2 linked regions of the Sus scrofa genome follow. The protein of the gene in region 1 binds, or shares a complex with, the protein of each later gene. Links are inferred from orthologs where the notes say so. Each region holds a gene or a part of one and is shown on either strand. Other genes may lie near its edges.

The links. The genes of interacting proteins can lie anywhere in the genome.
Region 2: TRAPPC11 (region 1) and TRAPPC12 share a complex: the UniProt entries of both Homo sapiens proteins name them as parts of the multisubunit TRAPP (transport protein particle) complex. The link is inferred for Sus scrofa from reciprocal best matches to the Homo sapiens genes TRAPPC11 and TRAPPC12.

What each region holds. Positions count from the first base shown.
Region 1 is NC_010457.5:45,024,998-45,028,651, forward strand, and holds part of TRAPPC11 (trafficking protein particle complex subunit 11), read left to right. Parts: intron 1-883; coding exon 884-949; intron 950-1,057; coding exon 1,058-1,214; intron 1,215-2,581; coding exon 2,582-2,693; intron 2,694-3,654. UniProt on the Homo sapiens protein: Involved in endoplasmic reticulum to Golgi apparatus trafficking at a very early stage.
Region 2 is NC_010445.4:131,351,363-131,355,016, reverse strand, and holds part of TRAPPC12 (trafficking protein particle complex subunit 12), read left to right. Parts: coding exon 1-842; intron 843-3,654. UniProt on the Homo sapiens protein: Component of the TRAPP complex, which is involved in endoplasmic reticulum to Golgi apparatus trafficking at a very early stage.

The sequences.
Region 1 (3,654 bases):
ATTTGAAGCATTTAATAATAGTGAAAATGATGTAGGAATTTCACTGAGTGCTTTGTGTACATTATCTCATTTAATTGTAACATCCCTGTGAGGTTTATGAAACTGAGACTGAAAGCAACCATATAACCTTCTCAAGGTTTGTATCCAGCCAGGATTAAAACCCAGACCTATCTGGTCTCAGCATGAATTTTTAACTAACATGATCTTTTTAAAAGGTTTCTCACCAACAGGATGTGTTGCTTTTTGTTTAAAGATAGAAGCAGCACACTATTTTTTCAACAGACTCTTGCAGAGGAGGTGGAGTAGGTTGGTTAAGAGACCAGACTCCAGGGTCAGATTCGGTTCAGTTTCTGCCTTGGTTCCCTACTAGCTCTGTGACCACTTCATCTCCAGTGATTATGATGCTGTGTCAATTATAATATTGCTGTTATTATCATTATCATTGTTTTAGTCGTCTTGAGTTGAAGTGAGGTAAAAGACTTAGACAGAAAGAAGGCCCAGATTCTAGGCTTCACTCCACTAGCTTCATGGCTTAAAACTGTTCACTTATCTTCCTTAACCTCTGGCTCCTCATTTGTAAAATGGTGACAGTGCCTGCCCTGCCCGCTCTTACTAGATCCTGACAAAAATAATGGATGAGAAAGCACTTTGCAATATAAATGGTTTTACAACCATAGATAACTTGTTAGAAATATTAATCTGTCTCTACCTAGATTTTTTTATACTATCTAAAGGAAAGAAAGATTCTAGCTTCTTGATGTATAAATTGGAATTATTTATTGATCAGTAATCAGTTGTATCTTGTATGCCTTCTCTTTTTAAAACTGTATTATTCTTAAGATTAGGAAAAGCTATTGAATGTGCCCTTTACATTGCCTTGCAGGATGAAACTGTAACAATAGAAACTGTCTTTCCATTTGATGTTGCAGTGAAATTTGTTTCTACGAAGGTATGTTCCGTGAAGCTTATTGGAAGTCATCTGGGCTATAGAAAGTAACAGAAAAAAGAAAATGGATTAGTGTACTTCCTGATAGACCTTTGTCTCCATCTGCCACAGTTTGAACACCTGGAACGGGTTTATGCCGATATCCCATTCCTGTTGATGACAGACCTGTTGAGTGCCTCCCCATGGGCCCTCACCATCATCTCTAGTGAGCTGCAGCTTGCTCCTTCCATGACTCCTGTGGACCAGCTGGAATCCCAAGTGGACAAAGGTGTGGATCATCCCACTTGTGTTTTTTTTTTGGTCTTTTTGCCTTTTCTTTGGGCCGCTCCTGCGGCACATGGAGGTTCCCAGGCTAGGGGTCTAATCAGAGCTGTAGCCACCGGCCTACACCAGAGCCACAGCAACTCGGGATCCGAGCTACGTCTGCAACCTACATCACAGCTCACGGCAACGCCGGATCTCTAACCCACAGAGTGAGGCCAGGGATCAAACCCGCAACCTCATGGTTCCTAGTCGGATTCGTTAACCACTGAGCCACGGCAGGAACTCCCACTTGTGTTTTTTGCAGTGGGGGGCGGGGTGCTGGCCGGCCTTGCTTGTTGCTAAGGGAGGGAACTTGAAACTTATACCCACAAAAGCAAATACATGTAGAATTAAGATAGAATTAGCATCACTTACAATTTGCTTGAGTATACCTTGGTAATTTTAAAAGAACAGATTCTTTCAAAAAAAAGTTAACTCTGAAAGATGTACCTGAAACAAAAGTTTTCATATTTGGTGTGTTTTTTGTAGATAAGTCCATTCTCATTAAAATTCTAATTAATTTTTAATTGACATGTACTATTGTTTATAATATGAAATGGGAAAAGATGTTTATCAAAGAAACTATGGAAAATATAGAAAAGTAGATTATCGATCTTTAAGTTATCCAACTAAAACAGTTTATAGAAGAGATATTACCTTTCCAGTCCGGGATACTTTGGGCTTTTGTATATTTCTTAAGCTGTTAGAGGGAATGAAAATTAGTTTGAAGGTTAACCCAAGCAGAATTATTCTCAAATAGATTATAAGGGCAAATATTGGGAAGGGAAAAAAAAGTTGTGTATTGTTATTTTCATTATATTATTTTATTGGAGTATAGTTGCTTTGTGTTAGTTTTAGGTATACCCAGCAAAGTGATTCAGTTATACATATACACGTATCCATTCTTTTTCAGATTCTTTTCCCATATAGGTTATTACAGAATAGTGAGTAGAGTTCCCTATGCTATACAGTAGGTCCTTGTTGATTATCTATTTTATATATAGTAGTGTGTAAATGTTAGTTCCAAACTCCTAATTTATCCCTCCCCACCACGTTTCCCCTCTGGTAACCATAAGTTTGTTTCCAAAATCTGTGAGTCTGTTTCTCATGATGTATTCTTAAAGACCAAATATAAAGAGTTGTTTTGTTTGCTCTGTTTATCTAGCTCCTTGAAAAAGTCATTAACCATCTCTTCGCCTTAGTTTCCAGGTCTCTATAAATAATGTATAATTGATAAGGTACTCTCTTTTTGTTGTTACATTGCTTGGATGTAAAGCTCTCTTTTCATGAATGAAGTCATTGCATGAGGATTATGAAGACTCTTTCTTTTAGTTGTCTTGCAGACTGGAGAGAGCGCAAGTGAGTGCTTTTGTCTTCGGTGCCCCTCTGTTGGAAATGTTGAAGGTGGAGTAGCAACTGGGCATTATGTTATCTCCTGGAAGAGGTAAAATTATATCAGCCCTATCTTTTCTTCATTTTCTGTTATTCTAATGCCTTCATCATGTGTCATTGTCATTTAATAGTTGAGAGCTTCTGACAGCCTGGAGGGCAGACTAGAAGTCACAGGCTGTCACTGACCATTTGTCAAATGCACAGAGATTTAAAAGGATAATTAAACTTTCATTTGTATTTGTTAATTTGTGATTTAGCCAACTTAATTCTGATGATAGGACCACTAAAAGTATTAGGAGAAACTTCCCTTATTTGCGGTCCAATAGGATTATTTACATAGAAAATTCAAGGGAGTCAACAAATTATTAGAATTATAAAGAGTTTCAGCAAGGTTGCTGGATATAACATTAGTACACAAAAATCAGCTGGGTTTCTATATATCATAATAAACCTCTAGGCAAAGTACTTTTAAAATAGGTATTTATGTAAAAATATGTGGGAATGTATCTAATATGTATCTAATAGAAAATATGCATTACCTTTATGGAAAAAAGTTATAAAAATTTAAAACATTAGGGAGTTCCCATCATGGCACAGCAGAAAGGAATCCGACTAGGAACCATGAGGTTGTGGGATCGATCCCTGGCCTCGCTCAATGGGTTAAGGATCTGGTGTTGCCTTGAGCTGTGGTGTAGATCGCAGGCGTGGCTTGGATCTGGCGTTGCTGTGGCTCTGGTGTAGGCTGGCAGCAACAGCTCCAATTAGACCCCTAGCCTGGGAACCTCCATATGCCACGGGTTCAGCCCTAAAAGGACAAAAGACAAAAAAAAAAAAAAATGTTAAACATTAAAGAAAGACCTAAGTAAATGTCAGAGATACCAAAGAGTCTCTGATAGGATTTGGATAAGATTTAATACTGTAAATTATTCTTTAGATTCAGTGCAGTTTCCTTCAAGATCTCAACAGCTTGTTTTGTTTTGTTTTTGTGGAACTTGATATACTCAATTTTGAAG
Region 2 (3,654 bases), on another chromosome or scaffold:
CCTCGGGTGCCGGCGCGCTGAGCGACGACAGTGGGAGCGCCGGAGAGGACGCGCCCGAAGGCGCCTCCCCCGGGCCCCCCGACGGCCGGGCGCCCTCGGGGGAGAAAGACCCCGAGCCAGAAGGGAGAGAGCCACCCGCCTTGGAGCCCGGCGGCGCGGGTGCCGAGGCCTCGGGCCCCGGGGGGGACGAGAGGGCGCCCCCGGGGGACGCGGCGGCCGGCGAGGCCCCCCGGCAGCCCTCCCCCAGGGACGAGCCGGTGCCCGTGTGCACCATCTTCAGCCGGCCGCCCGGCTCCCAGCGCGACGGCTTCCAGTCGCAGATGGTGAAATCGCCGAGCTTCGGCGGCGCCAGCGAGGCGGCAGCACGGGCCCCGGCCCAGGGCGTCCAGCCCAGCCCCAGCCTGAGTAAGTTTTTTGGCGACGCCGCGGGCCCCAGCTCCCTGGCCTCGGACTTCTTCGATTCGTTCACCACGTCCACCTTCATCTCGGTCAGTAACCCCAACGCCGGCTCCCCGGTTTCGCTGGCGGCCACCCCGATGGGCGAGACCGCCCCAGGCCCCGCCGAGCCCGCCCGCCACCCGGAGCCCGCCGTCGCCACAGGCGCCCCGGAGATCCCTCCATCCCCAAAACCGTTCTCGCAGATCCAGGCCGTGTTTGCCGGCAGCGAGGACCCCTTTGCCACCGCCCTGAGCATGAGCGAGATGGACCGGAGGAGCGACGCCTGGCTCCCCGGGGAGGCCACCCGGAGCGTGCTCGTCTCCGTGGCCACCCAGCAGTACAGCGCCGTCTTCGTGGACAAGGAGGACCTCACCATGCCCGGCCTCAAGTTCGACAACATCCAGGTGAGAGCCGGGTCCCGCTGCTGGCCGGCCGACCGGGCTGGGCTGCTTCTCCGTGAAGCCCTGTTCCTCTCAGCCTCTTAGGATGTTCCAATGTCCTAGCTCTGTGGGTGGAAAACCCGTTTCTCAGCAGCTGCTAAGGTTCTGACGGCGAGGGTCTGTGTTGCATTGTCACTAGGTAGTTTGGAACCTGGCTGGTTTCTCGGACACAGTGTATTTAAGGCACGAATCAGAGTCGGAGAAGTACCTGCCAGCCAGGCAGTCGTGTCACTGTCTTTCTCTCTGGAGTAGTTCTGCACCTCGTGTGGTCAGTGTGTTTGTGACACGGGAGCACCAGTAAATGACAAACCCCCATTCCTTTTTTTTAGATATGGAAAAATACGTTTGCATTTTATATAATATACTTGATGTAGAAAGAGTCTCATAGATTCAATTAAACAAAGAGAATGGGCCCTCAAGATAATAAATCATAAAAGCATGCAAATGTTACATATAGTAAATAGCAGTATTAAAAAGCTCAATCGCACCAGTAATCAAAGATGTAAAGCGATTTTCGCCTCCACCGTCGAGGTATTTGTGTGTGTTCCAGTGCGGGACGGTGGCCTGCCCAGGCAGCCCTGAGGGGCTGGAATTTGGCACAGACTCTGTTAAGTTGTAGGACGCACGTCCAGTGTGCATCTCCTTCCACCCGGAAGCCCACCCTTCGGCGTTCTTTGGAAGGAGATGGTCTCACTGCCTGCAGACCCCCGGCTTTGGGGACACCCCTCCGAGGGAGGGGTGTCATTGCAAAGGAGCTGAACCGTCTGAAAGGCCAGTGGCAGGAGGCCGCCTGAGTTCCTGTGACACGTGTCATCTTATTGGTGGAGTGTCCGCGTAGGCATTGGACGTGGCGCGGTAGCGAACTGTGTGACGAGGTTCCGGTGTTACGGTCGCCAGGCAGGCCTACACTGGTGAACCCCGAGGGAGGCCAGCTCACTGCCCGGCAGCTGTGACTCCTGGCACCCAGGCTGCAGGTGGGATCGGCGTTTCTGTGCGCCAGCCTCGGCCCGGCATCCTGAGAGCGTCCTTCCTCTGGGGACTGAAGGAGGCCCCCCCGGGGACGGACACCCTCCCACCCCGCCACCTCGCTGGGTCGGAAAGCAGCACAGAGAGTTCTCTAGAGAAGGGGAGTGGCTGCCGCGCAGTCAGCGGGTTTTCTAGGTAACCGAGGGGTGAGCCGCAGGTTCCCGGTATTTTGCACGTGGGGCTCCAGCGTATTTGCTGACTCAACCCGTCCCCTCGTGGCTTGTCCTCCCCCCTCCCGGCAGAAGGCCCTGGCCCCGAGGGAATCCCGCCTGTGGGCTCTGACGGCAGGGCCATCTGCTGTTTAGGATCCCGTGTGTGCCTCGTCTCGCTGGGTCCCTGCCCCGCTGCATCCCCTGCCCCCGGGGGGCCTTGGTGTTCCGTCTCCTCCCTCTCTCCCCTCGTGGGGTCTTGGCGCCCTGCCGCAGAGTTCCTTTAACGGCAGCAGGTCTGGCCTTCAGCTGTCTTGCCCAGCCCGTGCTGTCTGCCATCTGCATCCCCGTCTGAGTGTAGCCCAGGAAGAGGGAAGGTTGCCGCAGCGACCACCTAACCCAGCACTCCCCACGGTGTGCTGGGCCCAGGCCCGGCCGCCCCCCCCCCCCGGCTGCCCCCCCCCCCCCCCCCCCCCCCCCGGCTGCTGGCTCTGGCAAAGCTCATCGGTCCTTCTTGAGAAGCCGCGCTGGCGTCCTGCTCGTTTACCCCGGATTGAATCAGGTCTGGAGGCCCTTTCTACCAGTGAGAAGCTGGGGTTCTGCAGTGGCGCCTCTGTAGCTGTAAAGCTTGCAGGCGGCCGGCTGCACAGTAAGCGGGGCGTTTGGCGAGCCCGCCGGGGTCAGGGAGCGCCCGCCACCGGGGCAGGACACATCCTAGCAGCCAACCTGGAGGCAGCGGCCTCCCTCTGCTTCCTTTCAATCCCAAGGCAGCCATCCTCACCTCTCCCACTTGGCAGCGGTGGCTTTGGAAACCTCCGTAAATTGAAATACGAATTAAGAACAGTTCCCCAAAGGCCTTTGCCTTTGCCACGTAACAGATGTGCTGGAGGCTTCTTGGCCTGTGTCTCCACAGTGCTGTGTCGCCCTTCAAAGAACTGTTCGTTCCCAGGATAGAAGGGCTGTGTGGTTTACCTTGGAAATGCTGTGTGTATTCGCCAGAGGACCTAAGATGGCTTTTGAGACGTCAGTCAGTCGGCGGTTGAACGTACCTATGAACAAGTTTCTCCTTGTGCCGCTGCGACCGTCGCAACGTTATTCTGAGCTGGCTTTTCTAAAACGCTTGCGTTGACGCTTCTCCAAATTGCTCACCCTCTGGCGTCTAATTAAAAATTCCTTCTTGTGGGATAGAAGTGGGGGGGTTAAATTGTTGCTTTATGAAGTGACTTTTTGAGCAGTTTGAGTTCTCAAAGAAGGAAAAATGAAAAGCGAGGGCGTAACTCTCCGTCCAGCCACAGCAGCGCCATTCGAACTTTAGACGGCCGGTGTTCTTAGAGACGTAAATGTGAAGTTTGTGGGGAAATGATGGGAAAATTCAGAACCGATAAAGAATGGAAGTTGTGTACTATTTGGATGATGCTTGGTCAGTAGAAAGGGGGAGGGGGGTAAACAGACAGGAAGCAGCAGCGTCTCGGCGGCGGCGGCGGCAAGGGAGTAAGATTGGGAAGGAGGCACGAGACCAGGCTATGGTCCCAGATACCTGCGTCCAGACCTGCGGCCGAGCCCTTCCACCCCACGAGCCCTTCCACCGTGCGGTCTGGTTC